Canis lupus familiaris: one gene and its partners. The protein of the gene in region 6 purifies or fractionates together with the protein of the main gene of each other region. This does not show direct contact. Links are inferred from orthologs where the notes say so. Each region holds a gene or a part of one and is shown on either strand. Other genes may lie near its edges.

The links.
Region 1: the proteins of DDX6 (region 6) and AGO2 purify together in Homo sapiens (affinity purification with western blotting; 5 studies listed by BioGRID and IntAct, with this or other methods). This does not show direct contact. The link is inferred for Canis lupus familiaris from reciprocal best matches to the Homo sapiens genes DDX6 and AGO2.
Region 2: the proteins of DDX6 (region 6) and LSM12 purify together in Homo sapiens (affinity purification with mass spectrometry; 5 studies listed by BioGRID and IntAct, with this or other methods). This does not show direct contact. The link is inferred for Canis lupus familiaris from reciprocal best matches to the Homo sapiens genes DDX6 and LSM12.
Region 3: the proteins of DDX6 (region 6) and ATXN2L purify together in Homo sapiens (affinity purification with mass spectrometry; 6 studies listed by BioGRID and IntAct, with this or other methods). This does not show direct contact. The link is inferred for Canis lupus familiaris from reciprocal best matches to the Homo sapiens genes DDX6 and ATXN2L.
Region 4: the proteins of DDX6 (region 6) and DCP1B purify together in Homo sapiens (affinity purification with mass spectrometry; 6 studies listed by BioGRID and IntAct, counting the BioPlex papers as one, with this or other methods). This does not show direct contact. The link is inferred for Canis lupus familiaris from reciprocal best matches to the Homo sapiens genes DDX6 and DCP1B.
Region 5: the proteins of DDX6 (region 6) and G3BP2 purify together in Homo sapiens (affinity purification with mass spectrometry; 3 studies listed by BioGRID and IntAct, with this or other methods). This does not show direct contact. The link is inferred for Canis lupus familiaris from reciprocal best matches to the Homo sapiens genes DDX6 and G3BP2.
Region 7: the proteins of DDX6 (region 6) and PATL1 purify together in Homo sapiens (affinity purification with mass spectrometry; 6 studies listed by BioGRID and IntAct, with this or other methods). This does not show direct contact. The link is inferred for Canis lupus familiaris from reciprocal best matches to the Homo sapiens genes DDX6 and PATL1.

The regions. Positions count from the first base shown.
Region 1 is NC_049234.1:35,808,913-35,812,412, forward strand, and holds part of AGO2 (protein argonaute-2), read right to left. Parts: intron 2,896-3,500; coding exon 2,762-2,895; intron 1,102-2,761; coding exon 917-1,101; intron 1-916.
Region 2 is NC_049230.1:19,181,382-19,185,674, reverse strand, and holds the start of LSM12 (protein LSM12 homolog), read right to left. Parts: upstream 2,801-4,293; 5' UTR 2,688-2,800; coding exon 2,564-2,687; intron 757-2,563; coding exon 623-756; intron 1-622. UniProt on the Homo sapiens protein: Nicotinic acid adenine dinucleotide phosphate (NAADP) binding protein. Confers NAADP sensitivity to the two pore channel complex (TPCs) by acting as TPC accessory protein necessary for NAADP-evoked Ca(2+) release.
Region 3 is NC_049227.1:18,508,087-18,512,136, reverse strand, and holds the start of ATXN2L (ataxin-2-like protein), read right to left. Parts: upstream 2,801-4,050; 5' UTR 2,664-2,800; coding exon 2,362-2,663; intron 1,797-2,361; exon of another isoform or gene 1,717-1,796; coding exon of another isoform or gene 1,679-1,716; intron 825-1,678; coding exon 788-824; intron 607-787; coding exon 550-606; intron 463-549; coding exon 391-462; intron 43-390; coding exon 1-42. UniProt on the Homo sapiens protein: Involved in the regulation of stress granule and P-body formation.
Region 4 is NC_049248.1:2,039,219-2,042,718, reverse strand, and holds part of DCP1B (mRNA-decapping enzyme 1B), read right to left. Parts: intron 2,560-3,500; coding exon 2,424-2,559; intron 1-2,423. UniProt on the Homo sapiens protein: May play a role in the degradation of mRNAs, both in normal mRNA turnover and in nonsense-mediated mRNA decay. May remove the 7-methyl guanine cap structure from mRNA molecules, yielding a 5'-phosphorylated mRNA fragment and 7m-GDP.
Region 5 is NC_049253.1:39,971,407-39,974,908, reverse strand, and holds the end of G3BP2 (ras GTPase-activating protein-binding protein 2), read right to left. Parts: coding exon 3,255-3,502; 3' UTR 501-3,254; downstream 1-500.
Region 6 is NC_049226.1:15,030,713-15,034,212, reverse strand, and holds part of DDX6 (probable ATP-dependent RNA helicase DDX6), read right to left. Parts: intron 3,437-3,500; 5' UTR 3,163-3,436; coding exon 2,963-3,162; intron 1-2,962.
Region 7 is NC_049239.1:37,542,373-37,546,464, reverse strand, and holds the start of PATL1 (protein PAT1 homolog 1), read right to left. Parts: upstream 2,801-4,092; 5' UTR 2,770-2,800; coding exon 2,755-2,769; intron 817-2,754; coding exon 705-816; intron 1-704. UniProt on the Homo sapiens protein: RNA-binding protein involved in deadenylation-dependent decapping of mRNAs, leading to the degradation of mRNAs. Acts as a scaffold protein that connects deadenylation and decapping machinery.

The DNA of each region.
Region 1 (3,500 bases), on a different chromosome or scaffold from region 6:
CTGGCGCTCCCGCCTAGAACGCTGCCTTCTATCGCAGTGCTCAGGGTTACGAGCAAAAGCTTGGGTTGTTAAAAATAGAGACGCTGGCATCCTCGAAATTCACAGCACATGCAAAGCCGACGTGAAAGAGCTATCGAGGCCCACACCCCTCAGTTTCTGGATTCTTGCACGGAGCCATGGTCAGCTCCCTGGGCAGTGCTGTGGGAACGGGTGACTTGTGGATGGAAACACCGATGGTGTCATCTGCGTTCTTGGATACGTAGCTTGGAGGAGAGATGCACGGCTTTTATGTATCTAATTCGATCTGAGGGTCCAGTTGGTGACACCACCTGAGCGTCACGGCCCCCACATGCCAGAGGTTCTCATCCTGACGCCACCTCTGCTGGGCACCTTTGGGTCCCGCAGACTTCCCACAGCTGTCCAACAGCAACCCCTCCCCCCTCACCTGTCCTGGAGTCACCTGTCCGCCACCCCCACCGCCCTGGGGTCCCTTGGATGGGGGGCTGCTCTTTGAACTCTCATCACAGGGGCTGGCTAAGTTTCAGCTGAATGGATGCACAACTGCCCTGCTGGCGTGAAGACTCTGATCACCTTCCAGAGAGCTCCAAGGGGGCACAGAGATGGCCACACCTGGACAGCGGCCCCCGGTGATCACTGCATGTGCACCGAAGGGGCATTCCTCCACCCGGCCAACATCGAGTGGGGTGGAATAAAATAACCACGCACATGCTGGCCTCCAGGAAGTGGTCTCAGCGCTGATGCGGGCGGCCCTCGGCACTTGCCTGGCAGTTGTCAGAACGTCCCTCGTCCTTCTTAGCTCATGAATGGGGCAAGCACAGGCATCCCTCAGTGTGGCAAAAACACCAAGGAGCCGGGCTGCACCAAACACCCGGGGACCCCGAGAGTGAAGGCCTACCGTAAACGGGGGTTTTGCCAGGCAGGATGACCACCACCAGCTGAAGGCCAGCATACGTATTCTTCAGGTGCCTGAACATGGGCTCCACGCTATCCGCCCCCTGGGCATATTTACAGAAGCACGGCTGGCCCTGGATGGGCATCCCAGCGTCCCTCGAGATCTTTCTGAGCTGCTCCGTGAAGGATCTGAAGGAGAAAGCTCATCAGGCTTGAACGCATGGCGGGCGCCCAAGAATCCACCCCAACCAGGGACCCCAGGGGAAGGGCACAGCTTTAACAGCCCAACCCAAGCCACTTCCACTGGTGTCCGAATCCAAGGGTCAGACCTGGACAGAGCCATTTCTATGTGTTAACTCAAGGCAGAGGTATATGCTACACGTACATGCGGGTTCCTAAAAAGCCACTCCCAGCTGTAGGGGCTGGTGCGGCTGCCACCCACTCGGCAGGCCCGACCAGCACCTGGGTCCTGGGGCAAGACGCAGGACCTCGTCAGCGCCAAACACTGTCAGAGAGAGGGAAGCCACCAACCCACAGTCCCCTTGGACTCGCCCCCATTATTCTTGAACCGCTTGGACTTGGGCGACACAGCCGTGGGAGAGAGCAGGATCGGCCACAGCCAGGGTAACACCAGCAGCTGCCCCGGCAGGCCTGGAGAGGCCACCCCCACCCCGGGCGGGGGGCACACACAGGGCAACAGCTTCTATTTTAAGCCCAGAAGTAAAAATAACGTCGCCTTCGACAGTTAAGGATAAGGACACTCGATCCAGTGGCGTGAGTGTTCATCCTCCTATACGTCGATGTGCTTAGAGACGTGTGCATGCGTGTGCATCCGCATTTACACCTATGTGTGAATTCACCGCAGGGCTGAGGCCACAACACGGGGAAGAGGTACCTGGGGTTCAGCTGCAGCCGCCTTGGCTTCCTAAGCTGCTCTGTGCGGCCAGCTCACGCTGCCGGCAGCGGGGACAAGTAGCCCCGACAGCCTTTCACCCCTTGACGTCTGCTCTCGGTGACTTTGAGCCCCAGCTTCTCAGAGGCGGCCTTCACCAGCATGTTAACCAGCTCTGCCTCTCAGGCTCTGAGTTCCCTCCTGCTTCCCCGTAAGACAGATGGGAAGTAGTAGCTTCCTTTCCACTGTTGGTGTTTTGGACACAAAAACACAAACGACAAGGGCACCTGGGTGGCTCAGATAGGCGTCTGCCCTCGGCTCAGGTCATGATCCTAGGATCCTGGGATGGAGTCCCACATCGGGCTCCCTGCTCAGGGGGGAGCCTGCCTCTGCCTCTCCTGCTGCTCCCCTGCTTGTGCTCTCACTCATTCTCTCTCAAATAAAGACATGAAATTATCTTGATGGGATGAGCCCTGGATGTTATACTGCATATGTTGACGAACTGAATTTAAATAAAAATATGTTAAAAAAAAAAAAAAAACGACCGACGAAACTGCATATTTTTGGTGCTACTTTCAAAGGGGTCTGCTGCCTGGGCCACACCAGGGTGATGCAGAAGCACGAGGCCAACGTGTTTTCTTCAAAGTAAGTTGAGTTCACTGAATATAACTTTTTCTTTTGCATAAAATTTTCAAATTTACTTGTTTACTGTTTTATCTCTTATATAATCTCCATCACTTTTCCACACTCCCTCCACCAATGAGTCTGAGAAGTAGAAGCAGCCTTGAGGCGGCCCACGTGTCCTGGGCCAGTGCTCCCTGCCAGGGAAAGGCCACCAAGCTCGGCAACGGCACTAAGTCCACGTCCCTGCCGGCCTCGCACCCCCCTGCCGGCTGTCCCTCCCCCCTGCCCCCCATCCCGCCCAAAGCCAGGCGCGCCTGACCCCGGTGGCCTTACTTCAGGTGGACTTCTGTACACTGACGCTGGGGGGCGAAGCACGCAATGGCCCACACCTTGATCTCAATGCCTGTGTGAAACTGCTTGTTCCTCATGTCCCACACGCCCTGGACAGGGGTGGCAATCGCTTTATTCTGCAAATGGCAAGAAACTTAGGGTGAGGGAAAATGGGAAACATGTCCCCACCGCCGATGCTGTTACTTTCCCTATGGCTGCTGGTCCTCCGACCACATGGTGCTCCTGAGGCTGAGAACTGAGCCTCTGTGCAGCCTCCCATCTCCGGCCTGCCCAGCAGTGCAAGTGGGCTGGAGATAACGGACGGATGGACAGACGAAGAGCTGGACAGGAGAGGAGGGACGGATGGATGGACGGTGGAGGGAGGGGTGGATAGAGGCCAGGAGAGCAGAGAGGCCCAGAAGTCCACACAACCTCAGGGGCAGCCCCGAGGAACGCCAGGGCCTCGTGTTGCTATAGGAGGGCTTTCCTGGGTCAGAACACGCTCTCATCTACTCTGCCTCCTCCATCACCACACAGGCAGGCAGGAGGGGAAGAGAAGTCAAGGTGCTCCTTCCCAGTCCCGGGCCGGGGAGCAGACGGACCAGCTAGGGCCCCCCCACCCCACATGCCACCGCATGCGGCTGTTTAAGGATGGAAGCTGCTCCCACTGGTAAAGACAGCAAGGGGCGCATCCACTGGGGCTTGCCATTTCTGAGCCAGAAAGGACCAGACCTCAGCACTG
Region 2 (4,293 bases), on a different chromosome or scaffold from region 6:
ATACATGAAATTTTGCCTGATAGAACTCATGAGCCAAAGTGATTTGGGGGTGTAAGATTAACATGTAAGATACCAACATGTAAGATACCAACATGTAAGATTACTCTAAACATCTAATTCTGTCAGACCTCAAAATTCAAACATAAAGACAAAAATGAAGCTTTAAGGCAGTAGTTTTCAAATTTTTGTAGGTCATGAATCACAGATCTGCAAAATACTCCATATGTTCACCAAAACCATATATATTCATGTGTGCACACATACACACAATTTCAGGAGGTTCACAGACATCACCCCTACCCAACCCCACTAATACCAGAAGTTCACGCACGGACTCCAGGTTTTTAGAAAACAAAACAAAAAAAAACAGCCCTCTTTCACTAAGGACAAAAGTAAGTTTGCAATTTTATTTCTCTATTTGGGCATTAGAAGGTTTCTTAAGTCTGAAGGTACGCAGAAATAAGGAGAAACCTAAACCGGTATGTTTTTCAAAAAGGTATCAGAACAAACAATTTTATGTTAATGGAAAAAATGAAAAACAACAGACAATGTATGTATCACCAAGAGCCAAGGAGTCTCAATGTTTCCCATTTTGGAGCCAGAACTGCCCGCAAGTCCTTACCTTACTAACATTGAGTGAAGCTAGGGGAGGAGGGGTTTCTGTTCGGTCATTAATTATTTCCACTTCTGAAACATACTGTAAGTTTATGAGCAAGATATCTGCATGGTTGGGCTTTCCACTGGAAGAGGGACATTCTGGTGAAAAAAATAAAGTTAAGGAAAATAGAGGCAAACAGCACTGACGCATCCCAAAAGGGGCATGGAAAACAACTGAAATGAGGCTGGTGTAACAGGTGTGCCACGAGCAAGAAGGGGGAGCATTACAAGAATCCTAGCTCTCCTCAGGAAATCTCTGCCTGTCACCTTCCACCCGCTCAAAACCCCAGAACCAAAAGATCTCAAGCTTTTCAAAGCCAAATACCATCCAAAATTGGAAGCCTCAGAAAGGGTTTCCGTCACCTCTCTACTGGTTGTATGGAAGCATAATGCAGTGTTAATGCCATATATAGAGTTTGTCTTGGACCTAAGGAACCACACAGAAGAGGCATTACTCTCTGTTCTTGGTATAATACTTTCATCTATATACTGCTCTTTTCACTTTTTTCGATTTCAGATTTCCCATTCCGCAGAGGAGAAAACTATAGGACTGGAAAGGAGGCTCACTCAAGGTGAACCCAGCTACTTAACCCATTTATCTATATATGTATTTATTCATTCATTCATTCACTCACCCCTCCTCCAACTATTTATCAAGAGTATATTATATGCCAATTAAAAATAAAGTAATTCCTCATTCCAAAATCCTTCCAACTAACCCACTAATGTAAAAGGTCTTATTTGGTCCAGGTCTGAGTTTTTACATTTTACCCAAAAAAAGCAACAGTTCTTGCTGTAGAGGACATCTTCCTAAGCTAAAAATATCTACAACTAGTGGTTAAATAAATTAAAATACTTGCCACTCAAATGCAGCATTCAGTAGAAAACTTCCTTTTGAAAGATGCCATAAAGGATTACTCCTCAAAAAAATAAACCCACCTGTGGCTCAAAAAGAGGGGAAGGGGTGGTACATTTATTACAACCAGGAACTATTTTGTTTCCAAGACTGAGTTTCCTGGAGTAATTCAGAAATCATTTCCACCCCAAAGAAGCAGGCCTTCTTTTCCATTCTGTTAATCACCACCACTTCCAAAAGGGGAGGCAACTACTATGGAAAAGTCAGGACTCCATGTGCTGGGCTGAGCAAGGGAACGTAACTTACTCTTTCACCTGTAACCCACACAACCCTACACGAGCCCCTAAAAACCGTGGCCTTCTCTCTGGGACCAGGTTTCCAATGGAAACATTCTCAAAACAGCAATTTTCAAATGACTGAGAAACCTCATTCAGTACTCCCCGCCCCCAACAGCACCACGCACACACACACACCAGCAAAATAAGCCCCTATCCCCATTTCAGATACAAACTGTCCTGCAGTTACTCTCCCCCCAAAGCAGGCGAGGCCCATTTGGTCACCACCCCACCGCCGTTCCTTGAACCAAATCCTCCCAGCAGACACCCCCTCCTAAACTCCATACCCCAGCCCTACTAGCAGCTCTTTACTCTACACACCCCCTCCCCACATGATTCTACCCGCCCCCCTTCCATCCGGGCTCCAATCCACCAGCCCCCTCCCACGACCACCCTCTCTCTCTCTGGAGCACTGTATCGCCTCTCACAGCGTTTCCCCCGAAAAGGCATCCGCGTGTCAAGCCCCCCTCCACCCACTGACCCTCGCTCGGGGCCCAGCTCCCACAAGGGATGGGAGACAGGGTCCCCAAAGCGGACCGAGGGACACGCGAAGAGGGGGAGGGGAGCTCAGGGCCGTGCGCATGCGCTCCGGGCGCCGCGGTAGCCGGTCGCCCCTAGGCCCGGAGAGGGCCCCAGCCGCCGCCGTCGTCCCCCACCCCCCCACCACCACACATACACGCCGGCCCGGGCTCGGGCTCCGCGCAGCGAAGGATACTTAAAGCCAGCATTTTGGACTGGTAGTCGAAGGCTACCACCTCGCCCTGCAGCCGCTGCTCCTGGCACGTCCGGCACGACACCTGGCTCCCAACGCTGAAGTACTCGCCCGGAGGAGCCGCCATCTTGGGAGAGCAGCCGCGGCCGGCGGCGGCGGCGGCAGCAGCGGGCGAAAGCCGGGCCCCCAGTGAGCGCCGCGACGCGACGCACGAGGCGTGCTGACGTCACACGCCAGGGCGTGGCCTGGCTCTGGGTGGGGCGGGAGCCTAGGTGGAAAGGGAAAAAAGAGGAAATAAAGGGGATCTGAATAAGTGTTTGTGCAACTGCGCCCGCTTATAAAGTGCTTGCAGAGTCCATTTTAGAAGTTAAAGATAAATGACCTACGTGGCATGAAAAGAGGAAGGAGAAGGGAGCTGCAATCTCTATTATGTGCACACCTTGACACAAGACTTTAATGAATGAACTCTATTTTACATAGAGTAATCTGAGGCCCAGAGGTCTTAAGGAAACTTGCCCAAAACGATTATACCCAGTTACAAAGTACTAGTGGGAAGAACATGGCCTATAGGATTAGCTAAACTAGGATCGGAGTCCCAGGTCTGCCACTTAACTAAGTTCTATAACCTTGAGCAAATTACTAACCCTGACCCTGTATCATTACTTTTTCTATATTATTACTTACTGAGCATCCAACAATCTATTGAGGTGAGAATCAACATCTTCAGTTTACAGATGAAGAAACAAAAGTCTTAGACTAAACTTGGCTGAGGTCGCACAACCGGAAAGAATTCGGTCTACCTGTTTCCAAAGACGGTGCAATTTACTGCATTAAATAATACCTCCTAGAGTATTAGGAGGTTAAGTGAGATAATGTGTACAAATGAATGCAGTTCCTCCATGATCGCTCATCACCCTTGGAACTCAAGATGCTTCCACATCTCCTCCCATCTTGTCCTCTCTAGAAAGCCAGGCAAAGGGCAGGAATGTGGAGCAGTGGTAGTGACAAAGGTGGCCTTGGGGCAGTTTTGGCCCTCCCCCATTAGTGTCCATCTGATATACGAAATCCACCTGCTCTCATCCCCCATAGAAATTCTGGAGCCTCATTTATGAGTAACAACAGGTTGATCTTTCTCTAATCCAGAGGGAGGCAAAGGGCCAGCCTTGGCACTACCTAACCTGAACACAGTTCAAAAGCGTTTCCTTACCCTGCAAGAAACATCAACTTCCTAATGTTGGGTGTTTATTAGTACAATCATTGTAGTAGGAATAAAAGTACTGCTTGCTCCCTCTTAGTTGTGTTTTTCCAGGGAACTTTCAAGTCTGACCCCCACAAGTCACATGTAACTCCCGCTCCACTTTCTACATGGCATTGTGATTACAGTTTTTCATATATATGACTGCCCGGTACTGTTAGGAAAAGCTTCCCGGAGGAAGTGAAAAAAATCTGAGACCTGAAAGACAAGCAAGATCTCTATAAGGAGAAAGAGCTTGGTGATTTCAAGGAACATAAAGCAATTCAGAAATATTATGAAATGGAGTTGTGGGGGTAGGCTGGTAAGGGTTGTCTCACCGGAGCCTGAACAAACTTTGAAAGACCTAGAAAATGTAGGCTTTCTCCTTGGGGCAATTGAAAAACATTTAGCAAGGTAGTACAATAACATATCCAGCTTCCGTTCCCCACACCTTTTTAATTAGTGAAATTAATCTCTTTCCAAGAACCATATTTACATT
Region 3 (4,050 bases), on a different chromosome or scaffold from region 6:
CTCAGATGCTTTCCGGTGTACAGCGTCTACTGCTAGTTCAAACTATAAAAGTCCCATTCCCGAATAGTAAAGGGTCAATATCAGGAAATGTGATGGTAAAAATATGACTACTTTTCTTTTACTCTTTCCAACCTTGTCCCAACACCACACTATCTCTCACAAACAGCCTTCTCAACATCAGCCCAGGACTAAGTATTTTAACATTAAAGTACCCAGTCCTCAAACTTCCAACCCACATTTCTTATTGCTTCCAGCACCACTCTGGCACAGAGCTACAGAAATGAGTAACACAATGCTGTCCAATGCTATTCAACTCACATCTCCAGTAAGCTTATTTCATCCTCCTCCTCCCATGAAATTCCAAAAATAAACTATTTTGAGTACACTAACCTTTGAGCTCAGAGTCTTGAAGATACCTTCATATATGGTACCATTCTTCACCTTTACATCACAAGTGGAGCCCTGGAAGAGTGGAGAAAAAAAAAAGTGTCTCCAGCAAACTGGTGCTTTACTCGTCTCAAACAACCTAGGGTTTAGCTACCAACTTACCACAACAGCTGTAAGAAAATGCAGCATTCTGGAATTGTTGTAGACACCCTCGAACACCTATCAATAACATAAAAGAGCTAGTCAGCACTTCACCTTCCTTCTGAATACCCACACTCCACTCACACCCACTTTGTATGTGCTGGGCCCCAGCTCTTCTGAGCCCAACTATTTGTGCACATGATCTGTCCTATATCCCCACACGTTCCTCTGTACTTTGGGGGTGAGGGGTGGCACTCACCGGTGATGGTGGGGGTCCCTTTCCTGTGCTTTGTCCCCTGTGAGAAAGGAAACGAGAAACTAGTTACTTAACCACATTCAATCCGTCTTATAGAATTAATTTCAAAGAACTCGGTTTCCTAGAACCACATACCCTGAGAAAATAATTTAGACTACCAACCAATTAATCAACAAGATTTTCAAGTTCTCACCTCTCAGAGGAAGAAAGGCATAGACAGTAAAAGTCAGGAAACACGTTCCACCAAATGCCACTAAAAATAAGACCTTGATCAACAACGGTTGTCAATTCACAACCTTCTCACTTTCTCCAAGAGACCAGGGCCTCATGCTTCCAAGAAAGCAATGCTACAGTAGTCGTTAACCAACAATCCACCCTAGACATAGAGGTGAAAGCTCAGGGAATGCAGATTCAGAACCACCTAGCTCAGGTACGTTACCTCTCAAACAGAAAAGACAATCATTTTCACCAGCCCTACGCCCCAAAGTCTGGGAGGAGGGTACTCCCTTTACAACCCACCCTTCTCGACCTCTTTTACTCAATACCACCCACTCCAGGAGGGGTCACCGATCGCCTGGTTACCCTGCTCCTCGCTGGCTGATGTAACCGGCGGTTGAGGAGGGCGATGAGGGGGCCGTTGGCGGGGCTGGGGGACAGCGCAGCCGCAAAAGCCATCCACGGGGAGGCCTCGCCCGGTTCGCGCCTGCGCAGTAAAGCCCACGGGCCTCCAAAATCCCCCCTCCCGCGACCAGAACCCACTGCGCCTGCGTGTACCGCCACTCTCAATTCCATTAACCCACACACAGAAGAAACCGAGTGCGGTGTCCACGACTCATCCACAAACACCAGGCGAACCCGTCCACGCACACTTCCGAACCCTGCCCTATAGGTTACCCTCGGCTCACGAACGCCCGGGTCATGAGACAGAGCATCCGCGCGCACGTACGGGGAGAGCGCGCGCGCGCTGGAGGTTCCCAGCCCGCAGTCCTCCCAGGCGTCCCTCCTTCCGTCCCCCCGCCCACCCCGCTCCCCTCCTACTGGCCAGACCGGGAACGGGGAGGTAGCAACCTGCTCCCAAGTCCCTCCCTCCCCATTGGCCAAACTGTGGGCCGCGCGCCCCCCTCCATTGGCTACGGCCGGGGACCCCTTCCCGCAGCTGACTCCCTATTGGCTGAAGCCGGGGACCGCGAGACCCTTCGTGGTAATGGAGCCGGGGACCCCGATCACCTCTTCGCCCCCCCAAAGCCTCGTTCTGACGGCGCTGGGGGGATGCGCCCCGCCTGCCCTTAGGGCCCGAGCCCCGAGGCCCAACGAGGCTCTGAGAGCTGAGCACGGCCCCCAAATGTCCCGGTGGCCGCGCGGGGACCCTTTCCCTCCGACCTGTTAGGACCGGAGGGGGCCCGCCCCTAGCCTCGCGGGAGTTCCCCACTCCCCCCCGGCGCCCCGCCAAGGTGGCCGGACTGGGTGCCCGCCTCGCGCAGGGTCCTCGGGTCCCGGCCGCTGGGCCGGAGCCGCCGCCGCCGCCGCCGCCGCCCCGCAGCCTCGGCACCAGCGCCCGGAAGCCCACCCCTCCTCACCTGGCGCTGCCGATAGCCGCTGCCCCTGGCCTCTCCTGATGTTGCTGCTGCGGCGGCGGCGGCTGCGGCGCCAAGATGCCCTCGGCTCCCCGGCGGAGCCCGCTCCCGGCGGCGGCTGCAGGCCCCAGGCAGGGAGAAGCGGCCGCGGGAGGCCCTGGGGGAGCCGAGGCGGAGGCCAAGGGCCCCGGGAGGCCGCCGTTGGGAGGGCTGGTACCCCCGGGAGGCCGGCGGGCCACGGCCTGTTGCGTGGGGGGCGGCTGCTGGGGCTGGGAGGTCTGTTGTGGCGGCTGAGGCTTCAACATGATGGCAGCGTCCGGAAGGGGAATTAGGGGGAAGGGAGGGAGAGAGGAGGCCGGGGCTAGGCCCCCGCCGGAGAGCGCGGGAAGCAAGGGGGCTCGGGAAGCCGGGGACCCGCCGTTGGCGGGCGCGGGGGGAGCCCCGCGATGTCGGGGGTGGATAGAGAAGACCGCGGCGCGAGGAAGCGCCGCGAGGCGGAAGGGGAGGGGGGTCTCGCGGGCCGGAGGAAAGCGAGAGGGCGCGAGCCGGCCTGGCGCGCGTGCGCGTCGCCGGGGAAAGGGGAGGAGGAGGAGCGCGCGGGCGGGAGCTCCCGACGGGGGAGGGGCGGGGAGGAGGGAGCGGCGGCGCGAGAGGTCCGCGCGCGCCGGGGCGGTTGGCTCCGGGCCGGAGCGGGGAATAAAAAGGCGAGTCTCGCGCGCGCCCCCGGCCCCTGGGGTGCGGAAGGAGCGGCGCGGGCGCTCACGCGCGCCAAGGGGTTCGGGTCTCTAGGTCTCAGACAGCCCTAGAGGTTGGCTGCCGCTGTCGCTTCACAATGAGCGTGTGAAGCGCGGGGGGAGGAGCCCAAGTAGCCGTGAGGAAGGAAGAGCCGGCCGCCCCGCCTACGCCGGCGGCGAAGCGTCGGGATGCCTCCGCCGCAGAGTGAGGTGTCACGGCGGGGCGCGCGGTTCTTCCGCCGTTTGGGGCCCGTGGGCGGAGTCTAGTGCAAAGAAATCCCACGTCTAAACCCGCGTGCGCCCCTCTTAGGCCGGTCCGAGGCGTCGTGAGCGGTTACTCGGGACCTTGTCTGCTTTAAGGAGAAGGCGGGCGGACCTTAGGAGGTACCGGCTTGAAACGCCGCCTGTTACAGAGAAGTCTGCGCTAGATCCGAAATCGTTTTAAGTGTCGACGGTTTAATACCTAAATGGTTTCTCCGTGCCCTAGAACGAACCCTTACACCGTAGTAACAGAGACAGAAGGCCAGAGCACCTATAGGTGTAATTCAAAGATCCTCATTCAACTCTTCAATGAAACCAGGCTTTATGGCCTCAAAATTAGTTGGGCGTTAGAACACGGGGCTGAATGCGTCGGATACAACCGTGATGTAAGCACGTCCTGTCCTCCCCGAGGTAAAGCTGGCGGTAGAGGACATCCACTAGGTGAAGCATAGGGCGCCATGAGAGCAGAGAGGAGTGACACTGAATCCGGCGTTGGGTGATGGATTTCTAGGCAGGGGAATGTGGCCAAGTTAAGAAAAAGCGTGGCAGAAGTATAAAATGAAAGAGATTTAAAAAAAAAAAAAAAATGAGGCTGGAGAGGTAAGGAACCTGGGACTAGATTTTTAAGGAGACTGGGACATCGTCTTCAAAGGAGCAGGGAGCCTTTCACAGAAAACCAGGAGGTCAGATTTGCATT
Region 4 (3,500 bases), on a different chromosome or scaffold from region 6:
AATTGTCTCCAAGACCACAGAGGAGGGTTTCTGTGTGTGTGTGTGTGTGTGTGTGTGTGTGTGTGTCCCGTGTTCTTTTATGAGACAGTCAGGTGCAGCGACAAGAGGAGACTGTGGAGGGCATCCCTGGATGGCTCAGGGGTTTAGCACCTGCCTTTGGCCCAGGGCGTGATCCTGGAGTCTCAGGATCGGGTCCCACATCGGGCTCCCTGCATGGGGCCTGCTTCTCCCTCTGTGTCTCTGCCTCTCTCTCTCTGTCTCTCATGAATAAATAAAATCTTAAAAAAAAAAAAAAAGAGGAAACTGTGGAGAGAGGCTCAGGAAACCAAAATATACTCAGAGGTCCTAGAAGCAGGAGGCACAGTTCACCCTGCAGGGCCACCTGTGGAGGCCTCAGGGTGGGCAGGAAACACCAAGCAGGAGCAAGGGGAAAGCCAAGGCAAGAGCCTCTATGGGGGTTGCTGCACTTTAGGATTGGCTAGTTGGATAATTTTCAGTAGGCTTTAAACACTAGGGTGGTCTCTAGTCCCAGGACCTGAGATGACTAGGGCAGAGGACTAGCCTCCTGGGGTGCGGGGGTCAGATAGAGGAGGGACATCGCAGGGTGGTTAGTTTGCAAGTCAAAGGCAGCCTACTAGCCCAGGGGCAGTCAACTGGGTGACTCAGCTCTTGATCTCAGGGTTGTCATTTCAGGCCTTGTGTTTGGCTCCATGCTGGGATGGAGCCTACTTATAAAAAAAAAACAAAAACAGAAACTTGGCTAGCCCAGGGAGGAGGATTCTGGTCCCAACCAGAAGACTTTTAAGATGCCAAAACACCATAAAATAAAAATAATAAAATATGTGTGTGTGTGTATGTGTGTGTGTGTGCGCTGAGGAGGGAGGGAGAAGAAAGAAAATAATTTGTTCAGTATTTGCATTTATTATTTATTGGCCATTGTTATGCTGCCTCACAGAACCTAAGTTCCTGGAGGGTAAAAATGTCATTATTTTTTAAATTTAAAATTTTTAAATTTTATTTATTTTTTTAAAAAAAGACTTTATTTATTCATGAGAGACACACAGAGAGAGAGAGGCAGAGGGAGAAGCAGGCTCCATGCAGGTAGCCTGACGTGGAACTCAATCCCGGGACTCCAGGATCACGCCCTGAGCCTAAGACAGGCACTCAACTGCTGAGCCACCCAGGCATCCCTACATTTTTAATTTTTAAAAAAAGATTTTATTTATTTGACAGAGATAGTGTGAGACAGCATAAGCAGGGCGAGCAGCAGAGGAAGAGGGAGAAGCAGGTTCCTCAACGATCAAGCCAATGTGAGGCTTGATCTTGATCCTAGCACCCTGGGATCATGACTAGAGCTGAAGGCATATCCTTAACTGACTGAACCACCCAGGTGTCCCCAAAATGTCGCAATTTCAGATTAATCTGACATAGTACAATCAGGTAAAATATAATTAATTGATAGTTGCTAAGTCATTAGAATGTTTTTTAACAGCTGCTGAAGAATTAAGCAAAATGGAAAATACAGAAATCATTGTTACTGACCGCATATGAGATTAAAGTGTCTCTGTCCCAGCCCTCTGATCGAAGGACAATGAAACTATGATTAATTCGTATTCATATACATTGAGTCAATCAACAACCATTTATTCAGCACATATGTGCCAGGAACATAGAAGACAACTAGGCTTATGAAGATGAATACAGGGTGTTCTCTGTGCCCAAGGAGCTCACAGTCTACCAATCAAGGGTAAGTCAACCATCAAACCAAAGGCATCCTGGAGAAACTTGGCCAGTTGTCCTTTAGCATGTCCCACTTCATTCAGGAGTTTTCTGATTGCTTCCTTGGTGCCATTTGTTTTCTGCCTGCCTGTCTCCTCTCTTCCCTTTTATTTTCTGTAAATTCGTAAGTTTAAGAAAACTTACAAAGTGGATGACTAGAGTGTATCATGCTAAGTGAATTAAGTCAGAGAAAGACAAATACCTTATGATTTCCACTCATATGTGAAATTTAAGAGAACAGATGAACACTGGGGAAGGGAAGGAAAATCAGGACACACATACTTTTCCATTTGTTCAAGTCTATTTTTATGCCTATCAGGAGTGTTTAAACGTTTTCTTCATAGAGGTTTTGCTCATTTCTTGTTCATTTTATTCCAAAGAATGTTATATTAATAGTTGCTACTGTAAATGGCGTCTTCTAGGAAAATTTCTGACTGGATACTATTTGCATATAGGAAGGCTGCTGATTTCTTAGGCTACCTTTTCATCCACTTAAAACAAATGGTCTTCTTTAGCCTGCTAAAAGCAAATAGAGATTTAATTTTTCATTCAATTTTATTTGGTGGAAGGAATAAGCCTTTCTCAACAAGCATATTACCACCATAGGATTTAAGTATGTTTCACAAGGGAAGACAAAAACTCACCTTGGTGTATTCATCTTTGGCCTTGGTGAGCATTCGTAAGATATCTACTTCCTTGCCCTCTCCTGAATTGAGGATCATTGGGGAGTTTCCTGCTCCAGTTCCCTGATGGGCTTTCAACTGTTCATATTGAGTTAGGCTAGAAAAATAGAGGTGAAAATCCACACAAGAAAAACGAACTTAAGTGGCTTTTAAAACCATCTAAGTCCCACTCACTTGTTTTATCTTGTTATAGTCATAGTGGAAGTAAGACTGCTTAGGAAGTGAAAGAAGAGTTGAGATCCTGAGTATACTGAGTACATGTATGAACCTAGAGGAGGAGTAGGCAAACTATGTCCTAGAGGCCAAATCGGGCCCACTACCTGTTTTTGTAGAGAAAGTTACAAACAGCCACAATTACTGGTTTATGCGTCACTTACACTTACGGCCAGCTCTCACACAAGGCCTGCAGAGTTGAGTAGTTGTGACTCGCAGAGCTGGAAATACTATGTTTTTTTTTTGTTTTTTTTTGTTTTTTTCCAGAAAAAGTCGGCCAACTCCTCATTTAGAGCATTCTTAAAAGGACTCATTAATTGCTGAGGAAACCCAATTCAGAGTTCTCAAACACTGAGCAAACTGCACGGCAAATCGAGATTCCCCTCCCTTCCTTGTTTCAACGTGCCTTGAAGTCAAAGCAAAATTGATTTCAGCAACTCAAATCCTATAGTCCTCTGATAACTTAAAACAGCGAAGATTCCATTCTAGAAGACAGGGCATTAAAAAAAACTTAGAGCAATGAAGAGGTCTTCTGTTTCCCTGAAAACAATACAGGAGGGAGACCAGGTTGCTCCTATATGGTGCTAGGTGACACTGAGAAAAACACCTTTTCCTTTTGTGTGCTTTGACTTTCAGCTCAAATTTTTATAATTGCCATGTCATTTATGGTAAAAGAGACCTGAGAACTTACGGGGAGATTTAATTCTGAAGGGCTCAGAATCCACACATATCAGCTGCTTATTGCTAGTCAACAATCAATTTTCTGCCCCAGCTGTTAAGTAATTACTGCAGAATGCTAACAATTTGAACATGGTCTCTTGGCTG
Region 5 (3,502 bases), on a different chromosome or scaffold from region 6:
CCAATACAAACTTGTGAAGACTGATTCAAGGAATCCTCATGAACAGTGTTACAAATACATCAGCAGGAAAAAATCATTCATAACCATCCCTTTTAACAAGTCTCAAGTTCTAATATCATATATGCATTAGGACCTAATTTTTCATTTGAAATACTTAGTCACATTTGCAAGTATGTATTTTCCATTTAATATTCTTTTAGAGCTTGACAAATTCGTTCCAATTTCTGAATTGAGTCATGCCTATAACTTCAGATGTCCTTCTGAGATAAGAGGTACCAATCCTTTAGAAAACTTAAGTTTTGGTTTTTCTCTAAACGTTTAATAAGTGGTCTGATTTTGATCATTCTCACCTTCTTTATACTTATTCTCTTCTGCTATTCTTTAACGTGTATACCAGTTACCTAAGTGAACTGGGATACATCTCTAATCATGTTCAGTCATACTTAAATATTTGTTTTTACTTTTTTAGAAATCAAATTTCACAAACAAGCAGCCATTGGTTTTAGAACAATTCCTTATTTTTACTTAGGTTGTATGAAATGCAATTGGGAAAAAATACTTTGGAACACAAACCTATAGATTAAATTAGGGACATAGATAAATGCTGCAGACATCAGTAGTTTATTGTTTGTTAAATCCAAACACATTCAAAATGGAAACTCAAAGAATACTTTTCCACCCGAAACAATTAAACTAGATTCTACTAGCATATAATGCTTAACACATTACAGCAATAAAGATGGTAATCCATTGTCTTCTATACCTACTAAAGCCAAGATGGTAAAGCCAATTTGGTTGCAATAGTGTCATAAGGATAGAATATTACCATCACAAAGAAAAAAAAAAAGCAAATAACAGTAATGGTCAATGAATAGTTTTACTCTGGTTCACTGAAAAGGGGACAAAATGTTAAAAGTCCACAGTACTGCAGGTGAACAATCACCATGTAAACTTCTCCATGTGATGTTTTAATGTTTTATTCATGGTATGTAGAGACTGAAGCTGAATGGCTCTTTAATTTTCTATTACACTTAACATTTCTCATTACTTTTGGTGCCAGAACACAGTTTTCATGGGTGGCAGGGCAATATCCTAGATTGGAAATTATATATATATTTAAAACGGGAAGGAAAGAAAAGAGTAGAGGAAAAATATACTATAAAACAAAACAAAACACTGACAATAAACCACTTATTTAAAAGTAGTTTGAAAAAAGGCTTCAAAACTCAAAAGTAATTTTCTGGTAAGAACTTCAAGTACTATACATTAGAAAGTGTAAAAGTGTTCCAACAGGAAAAAAAAAATCTTTAAGCCCCCCAAAATGGAAACTATGAGAAATCTGTGTTCCCAAAATATATGCAATAGTGCAAGACTTTTCCCCAAACATGGAAGACCTCATTCAAGGGAGAAAAGAAGGACAGATTTAATTTCATTATATTGCCCAGTACATGAAAAACAAAATATGTGCATCATTTGCTAGTTTACTAAATAGCAAACAGTTTTATAATTCAGAACCAGTTTGCTACTATGTCAAGTGCATTTTTAAATTTGTTTTTACTAAGAATGGAGAAGTCTTCCATGCTAACAAGCAGCTTTAAGTGGTCACACTTAATTTACCTCACTCCTAGCCTGAAACATCAGAAACTGTTATGTACCCGAATGCTCCAAGCATAAAATTGGATATCCTTCGCCATACTTGCGGTTTACTGGAACTTGCAATAAAGACAGACAATAATCCAGCAGCTACAAACTTTGCTCACAGAATTTAGAGATCCATGTAAAAATAAAAGATGTCGTCCCAGACTTAAATTCAGAGCCACTCGGGTGCTGACATCAGTTCAAGAATTGTGCAAAATGAATGACAGTTCCCTGCCCCCCAAATAGAAAATGCAAACACTTAGGAGATGCTGTTCTTTTCTCTGAAAATTGCAGTATCCTCACTTCGTTTACTTGCCATTTATGGAATCTGACTGCTTTCAAAATGTCATAAAAAATGTACATCGAGTTGATTGGCTTTTCCGAGCACCTCTCAAGTGATACACTTCAACGTTCACATTCATGCTAAAAGTCAGTAAGAGACTTACTCAAATAACTGACTTCCTCCTTCCCTCTCCCTCCCAAACACACAAGACTCCCTCCCACAGAGAACACAAAGCTGTTAACTGAAGAACAAGGTAAATAATATGCTAGTCAATTTTACTGATTTTAAAGATACTGCAATTTTTTATACACTTCAATGATTTTTCAACATTTTGCAGCTGTTTGACTTTGCAGCACAGCAATTCATACACTAAACTGTACAAAATTACCAGCAAGACTGGAATGATGTATTAATAGAAGGCACCATCATGCTTATTACATTACCAGAGAACAAAAATACAGTAAAGACAATTTTCACTGTACATAGCTTAAAGAAAGGAAAAAGGGAGGAGTGTGTTGAGCAGCCAGCCATCCCTGTACTGAAGAGGGGCAGGTAGAAAAATCTTAGATATGGAGCTACTAAATCTGGTCTAATACTCAAGACCATAGCATTTGAAGTTCTGATTTCTGTTATTTAGAGTTCATGACTAAATGATTCCCTTCTGGAATATACTTGTAGTCTTGTTAAGGTTTATGTGTACACACGCTGGTCACTGCAAGCAGATAAAATGCCCTCATCATTTCACAAACTATTCTCTACTGGAAAAAAAGATGAAAGATTTTTTCCCCCTGTTGCCTCCTGTTGCAGATGTCAATGTTAATGAGTTCAGGAGTACCCATTAGTGCATTTTGATGAGTGCATAACAAGTTTCTGTTGGGTTGTATTTTGGGAGAGAGCCAAGAAAAAATGCAAGATTCTCCAATTGCACAAATTGCACTATTTGTGTTTCCAACATTAACAGGTAGAAACAATAACACTTAAACAAAATGTGCAGCAGAGGATTTTTTTTTTTTTTTGACTCAAAGGACCTGATTTCAGTTGGGCATGTCCTTTTAAGTTCATTTTGTTGTAGACAGTTTAAGATATGGTCATTTCTCAGTCCTTAATTCTCCAAGTCTAGATTTATAAATTAACAATGTGAATCCTGTTGTGAAATTGGGGAAATAATGTCCACCTCAATTTAACTCATAACCAAAAGATGCTTTTCACATCAAAGAAATGATCAAAAAGGCTGTGTCACATTCCAAAGCCAAAAAAAAAAAAAAAAAAATTAACAAGAATGCAAACACGATGAATAATGTACCACTGCCAAGACTCTGTAAACAGTGGAGCTTCAACGACGCTGTCCTGTGAAGCGGCCTTCCATTTGCCCGGTTCCTCTACCAGAGCCAAGTTTCTGTGCCATGCCACCTCTCGGAGGAGGTCCTCTTCCATCCCGGTCACGCATCATTCCACCACCTACTATGCCACGTGGACCACCAGGACCTCGATCATTGCGCCTAATATCCCTGCGATCATCACCACCACCTCTGGTTTCTCGCTCTCTTGCAGCTCTTGTTTTTTTCTCTTCCACATTTAAGC
Region 6 (3,500 bases):
GGTGACTGGTTAAAACCAAGGGGTCTAAAGTTTCAGAACCAAAGTTAAGCCCTGACTAATTATTTTTGTGACTTTTCAGCAGTTCCTTTTCTAAGCCTCCAATTCTCTGAATTATAAAGGGGGCTCAGAATTATAACAAATAATTTACATAAAGCACTCAGTATAGTTCCTGGCAAAGTAAGTACTTAGGGGGCACCTGAGTGGCTCAGTTGGTTAAGTGTCTGACTTTGGCTCAGATCGTGATCTCAGGGTCCTGGATTGAAGCCCTACATCAGGGCTCTATGCTCAGTGGGAAGTCTGTCCCCCCTCCACCCTTGTTATAATAAATAAAATCCTTAAAAAAAAAAAAAAAAAAAGAACTCAGGATCATCTGTTATTCACTATCTCTCAACTTTTTTTTACTGAGAATGCTTGAAACCGTGAAAGAGAAACCAAGAAAATAGAGTAGAACTCTTTTCGGTCAGGTAAAAACCTCAAATAATACTCAAAGCATCTAATAAGAAAAAATTGGCCAATAAAGCAGATAATGCTTTCAATTGTGTCATTTTTAAATAAAAATTTTCACTGATTTTCGGCAGCCTGGGTGGCTTAGCAGTTGGGCGTCTGTCTTTGGCTCAGGGCGTGATCCCAGGATTCTGGGATCGAGTCCCACGTTGGGCTCCCTGTGAGGAGCCTGCTTCTCCCTCTGCCTATGTCTCTGCCTCTCTCTTATAAAGAAATAAAAATCTTAAAAAAAAAAAATTAAAAAAAATAAAAAAATAAAAAAAGAAATAAAAATCTTTAAAATAAAATTTTTTTTCTTACTGATTTCATTATAGCAACTCTTATATAATCAGAGACTCCAAAACATCTCAAGTCTTGATTTAGGAAGATGAGCACTTACTTCATTTAAAGCTAGGTTCCACAGAATTTTTTTTTTAAGATTTTTCTTTATTTATTCACTGAGAGACACAAAGAGAGAGGGGGGGGGGGGAGGGCAGAGACATAGGCAGAGGGAGAGGAGAAGCTGGCTCCATGCAGGGAGCCTGATGTGGGACTCAATCCCGGAACTCCAGGATCACGCCCTGAACCAAAGGCAGACACTCAACCACTGAGCCACCCTGGCGTCCTGGTCCCACATAGTTTTGGGTAGATACTCTAACAGAGATAACTATTTGCTACCAATTCCAAGGGTACCAAAGTCCTTCACCTACGCCTTTATAAAACACACCAGCAGTTTCTGAGCAAAAATGTCAGTTGAACATCCTAGTAGGCCAGCTTGCCATGGTCATATTCAATATAAAGTGAATACAGCTGCAGAAATACAATGGAAAATCTTACCACAAGGAATTTATAATCTTAGGAGATAAAAGACCCAAACTATTTAAAATGAGAAAGTGAAATAAGTGATAGAGATAAATATTACAGGAGTTCTGAAGACAGTGATGGGACCTAGAAGCCTTCGTGGAAGAGATGACAGTATGAGATTTAAAGAACCCACAGAATTAAAAAGAAATCATTAATCCCAGGCAGAGCAAAAAAGAAAAAGCAAAATCTATTGTCTGAAATCAGAATTTAAGCATAAAATAATGAAATAACACAGCTTTAGGTTTAACAATAGCCTAAATTTTGCTGGCCAAATCATACTTTGTCAAGACAAACTACAATTTAGAGAATATTCTTGCTTTATATACTAATTAAAGCTTAAAATATGCAAAAAAAAATGCACTCATGCCAATTCTCCCAATGATCAAACCAATTCCACTGGGAATTAACTCTTAGAGGTCACTAGGATATCAATAAAAGTAACCATCTTAAAAAAAAAGTAACCATCTGTATGATAGTCTAGTAGCTTTTAAATGCTAGTTTTTCTTTAGGAAGTACTCTTTAGGCATAGAAAAGATCTAGGTTGTAATATAACATATACTTTAATTCAGGGAACCAGTTTCAACATTTGTATGTTTCAACATACAAAGATTTCAAGAGTAAATCAATCTCTATGGCTAGACTCAACAACAAAGCCAAATGTGAAATTGAATCAAGAGTCTTCTATGTTGATTATTCATTAACTGAATCTTTAGAGTGACAGTTATCATTCAAATAATTTAAAGTCAACACTTAGATGACAAATAGCAAATTTATTTTTTTTTGAATTTTTATTTATTTATGATAGTCATACAGAGAGAGAGAGAGAGAGAGAGAGAGAGAGAGGCAGAGACATAGGCAGAGGGAGAAGCAGGCTCCATGCACCGGGAGCCCGACGTGGGATTCGATCCCGGGTCTCCAGGATCGCGCCCTGGGCCAAAGGCAGGCGTTAAACCGCTGCGCCACCCAAGGATCCCGACAAATAGCAAATTTAAATGAAAAAAATGTTCTGTAATAAGATGAAACTCTTAAATTTTTAGTCAACAAAGGGACTTGGGAGTATTCAGTCTTGTATATTTCAAGAGTTCAAAATCTTGAAAACCTTATGATATATAACTGCTTGTAATTCTGTGTGTAAAAGGAGAAAGCCTTTTTTTTTTTTTTAAAGTAGAAAACTAAAGTCCCATAATCTTAAAAAAAAAAAAAGTTATGGATAAATATCTATCAGTGAGGTATATGTCTGGATTCAGGAGTCTGGGCCAGTCTTTAAATTTAAAAACTGAAATTGGCTTTAACTACCATTTATACTAAGGTAAAATACAGTTGTAACACTAGGGAAAAAGCCATATTGGCAAAAACAAGATGAATCTGAGCTGATGAAAGCCAGAAATGTTTCAAAAAGTAATGTATACAAAATATATATCATGTCTGTTACCTAATGACTCTGAACTATGACAAAAAATACATTATTCAATTGCAAATACCCACCCATAAAACAGTCCTCTGTACTTTCTTTGCAAACAAAATGGTTAAAACAAGGTCTAAAGTAGTCAACAACAAAGTAGCAGAAAGAAATCTTGGTCTAACAAGCCTGTTTATTATTTATTCGAACACTTACTTAATAGTGGTGGTCATACTCTGTGCTTGCTGCTGAGTGCCATTATTGATTGTGTTGGTATTTTTCAGCTGGTTCATCTGTTGCTGTGTCTGTGTGCCCCCTCCTCCGGGGCCACCACTGGGCTTCACAGGGCCCCTCAGCTGACCATTTTGACTGGAAAGACCCATTATAACAGGGTTCTCTGTTCTGGCCGTGCTCATGCTGTATTAATTGTAAAGATGTCTCTTTCAAACTTCAAAACTTTTGAAAGTCAGTAGAGAAACTGTAATAACAGTTTATTAGGCTCTCCAAAACGAAGAGATAAATATAAGTCTTGCTCAATATATGAGTCCTTTATTGCAATGCAGGCAAGCACCTGTAAGTCTCTGAACGGTATGCAGCAGTAACTTGCTCTCATGCACCGAATCAACTTTTTATTTTTTAAAAAGCCCTCTAACAAGGTTGAATTATATATTTGAATTCACTCACTTCAATCTGAAACAAAGAGAAAGTTTAATTAGCAAACATAGGAAAGTTAGAAAAAAAAAACTTTCCCTTT
Region 7 (4,092 bases), on a different chromosome or scaffold from region 6:
TCCAGGATCTTTATTTCTTAAATTTTATCATGTAAGCTTGTTCCCTAAGTTTCTCATTTTAGTAATTATAACTCTGAGCCATGTTTACTCTGGCTCTTTAATTTTTTACCTTTTTCTAACTCCTAAAATATTTATCTATATCCAGGAATAGGAAAATTTCATCTGTGCCCAGCCCTTTTCTAACTTATGAAGACTTCCTATCACCACAATTCTTAGAATGAAATGCTTTTTAGTTTATTGAAGATACTATGTAAGCCAATAGTGGGGTCACACAATACATCACTGATTAACTGAATTTTAAAACATATATACCCAAGTCCAAGTTTTCTTTTAGTCTACTAGTTTTCCAAGTTATATATTCCACAAATAAAAACTTCCTTCTTCCAGGATTATTTCAAATCTTCATAAAACGTCTACTTGTCTAACTATTTGCATGCCTTACAGCATCAACCTAGAACCACAGATAAAACAGCTGGAAGGCACTGGACTCAGAGAACACCTGGTTTTATACATAAATAAGGCAAAACAGGGGCCCAGGGGAGTGAAGTAGATGCTTCCAGTGAAGACTAAACTATTTGAGACTTCTAAGAATAGAATATTTTGCCAAGTTTTTGAATGCAGTTACTCTAAGACAAATCACTTATACAAGAGAATATTTGAAGAGCAAGAGATCAAGATGACATTACAGGAGAAAGATGTCTTACCAACAGCACCTGACCCAAATGTATCATCATTGAATTGATCAATCTCTTCATCTTCTTCTCCTAAGCCCTGAAATGCATCTTCATCTTCATCCAGGGGACAATCCTCTAAGGACTAAAAAAGAAAGAAGAGAGCTTATTAGGTATTCATGAAGTTCACACCTTCATTTAAAAAAATGCTCATTTTGTCCCTCCAATCATCAAAATAGCTTATGACCTCTTGTAAAGACAGCATTTTTTTTTCTGCCCCAATTTCCCTGACATTGGAAGATGGCAGTATCTTCTTTCAGTTTCTCTTTTCCCAAACACTCCATTTCTCTATCAAGAATCTAGTGTTTCTTCAAGCAACCAAGAAATTAGGCTCCTAACTTTTTTGACATCACTGGTTAGAAGTAATGACAACTGAAAACGAACACTTTATCATTATTGAGTTTTATGTATGTTTTTCAACAGAAGCATCATGTTACTCATACTCATGTCAAAATATCAGTTACTTTATTATGTCCTTTTACAGCCTTCTCTTCATTTTCCACCCTTCTGTTTTCTGTAGGCCCAAACTCTGAGGATGAAACAGAAAGCTAAATTTTCAACCTCAATTAAGTGAACTCTGGGAAAGCCATGATATGGTGAATTCAAGTTCTGGCTTCATTCTCACAAGAGAATGGCGCAAACTTGGCCAAATCGTATTCTGGTTAACTCGTTAAACACCTCTCGAGTACCTACTGTGTCTCCAGCTCTGCGTTAGGCTCTGAGTGGTAACAAAGGGACAATACCTTAGAGAGTTGTGTGAGGATTAAATGAGGCAAAGATTTGGCAAAAATTGTGGACTGCTGAACGATGGTAGTATCAGAACAATTTAGGTTCCTTCTGCTTTAAGCATTTCCCCTCTCCACTTTAGTTTTCCACTGATTTCTTATTTCTCCAAGTTCTCTTTTGTGTTGGCAACTCTGCCTACTGCACCTCATCATCTCTCTCCATGTTTACATCAAGTCGGTTCGGTCTTGAACCATTCCTATCAAGTATCAAGTACACGTGTCCCCAATTTTCAAAGACTCAGGCCACATATCAATAGGCAAGCCTGTGATATACCGTGCCGGGCTACGTCCTGAAGCAGGCTGTTCCCAAAGGCAAGGTTAGGCCAAGAGGCCATCCTAACCCGGGTTAAGCCCTCCCAAAGTTCCCCAAAGCAGGCATGCGACTGCCTCCGCAGCAGAGGCAGCTTCCAGCCGCACTGCACTCCCTTCCAAATCACAAAAGACCTACTTAACCAAATCACTGCTTTTTTAAATTGTGAAGCTTCTCAGCGATCACCTGGAGCAGCCTTCCGTCTACAAAATCCAGAAACTTTCTGTCCAGAGACTAGGAGCAGCTCAAGGTCAAAGGGTGAGTTAGCGGCAGGGTCACAGGACTCCCGACTGTTGCTGCTGCATTCCCGGGATGGTCAGCGAGCCCACGTCTCCCTCCACTCGCCCCAGAACAACTTCTGCGGGACACGCCCCCTCCCAGTTCGGAGCCCGGTTTGGTAAACAGTCTCGGGCCCCAGGAAAGGGCGAGTCCGGGGCCCCCCTCCCCCCGCCCCACGACCCGCCCGTGCCCGAGCCTCCGGGTGTGTGTGTAACCGGAGGGGAGGGGGTTCCGGGTCCAGGGCGGGAAACGTGTATCTAGGCTTTCCCGGGAGACTCTTCCCGAAGGAGCGCCAGCCGGTGGGTGCAGCGCTCTGCCCCCCCGCGGCTCCCGCCGGGGGTGGGGGTGGGGGTGGGGGTGGGGGCGGGGGCTGCTCAGGTCACCGCACTTAACGGGCCCTCCCCACCCCAAAACGGAGGCCAACTCTCCCCAGCCGCAACTGATAGGGGCAGTCCCGCCCCCTGGAGCCGGCTCCGCGCCCTCGGACTAGAGCCGCGCGCGACCCCAGGCCCTACGCGCTCCACTCGGTCCCGCGTCCCGCCGCCAGCCGCCCCCGCCCTCCCCTCCCCTCCCCCCCGGGGCGCGGGGGTGAGAGAGCAGAGGGGGCGCGGGAGGGAGGGAGGGGTCACTTCCGGTCGCAAGAGCTCACCTCGTAGCGGAACATTCTTGGGGAGGGGGGGAGGGAGCGGGGAGGGGAGTGGGGGAGGGAGGGAAGAAGCGCTGCCGCCCCGGGCTCCTCCGCGCGCGCGGGTCCTCCGCCGGCTCGCGACCCCGGGCCGCCGCCGTACGCCGGAGCGTGCGTGGGAACGTGCACAGGCGCGCCTCGGGGAGGGCGGCCCCCGCTCGGCGCTCGGCGCCCGGCGCGGCGGCTGCGCGGGGACAGATTTGGCGTCCCGCTTCCTAGTCTCAGCGGCGGGAAGGAGGTCCCGTGGAGAGAGACTGCGCACGCGCCGCCCGTCGGGGGCTTCCTCGCGAGCCCGACTCGCAGCCCCGCCCCCCGCCCCCCCGCCGGCTTGTCAGCGCCCGCCCCGCGCTCAGGGCCGAGTCACGAGTTTTCCGTCACCGACGGGGCGGAGAGAAACTCGTGATTGCCACAGGCTCTGGCTCCGGAGGGCCCCGGGCTGAGCGGGCTGGCGGACGCGGAGGTGGCTGGGCCGTGTCTCCGGCGGGCGGCCTCGGCGGGCCCGGCCGGGCCTTCGTCGGGGGCTGGATTCGTCGCCGCTCGAGCCGCGCGTCACCCGCTGAGTCCACAGCAGGTCGGAGCCGTGATTTATGTGTGTCGAGGGGATGACGGCGCCGCGCTCCTCCAAAGCGGGGGCTGGTTCCGGGAGGTCCGACCCGGGCGATATTTTTAGGCGCCAGGTGCTCCGGGCAAGTGGCGCGGGGGAGCCGGCAGAGGTCGGCGGGGCCACGGAGCGCCGCCCCCCGCCTGCGCCCCGGGGGACCCCGCCCCCCCCACGCCCAGCGGCCCGATCCCGGGAAGGCGCTGCTCCGGGGCTCAGCCTCCGCGCCCTGCTCCCAGGGGGCCTGGAGGGTCGTCCTCAGCCTGCGCCCCGGGGGACCCCGCCCTCCCCCCCGAGTGGCCCGAGCCGGGGAAGGCGCTGCTCCGGGGCTCAGCCTCCACGCCCTGCTCCCAGGGGGCCTGGAGGGTCGCCCCCCGCCTGCGCCCCGGGGGACCCCGCCCCCCCCACGCCCAGCGGCCGGAGCCCGGGAAGGCGCTGCTCCGGGGCTCAGCCTCCGCGCCCTGCCCCCAGGGGTCCCGGTGGGTCGCCCCCCCCACACCCGTGCGGGCGCCGCGCAGGCCTCGTCGGGCCCGCTGAGCTCACGGAACTAACTCTCACTTTTCCCCGTAAGGACTAAACTGCAACCACGAAGAACTCATTCCTGTGCGTTTCGCAACTCCTCTCTCCGCGTGTCTGAAAATGCAGCTTGGCCTAGGGATGGCAGCGGCGAATTCCTCACGTGTGAATCAGAGCCTGAGTCCGCA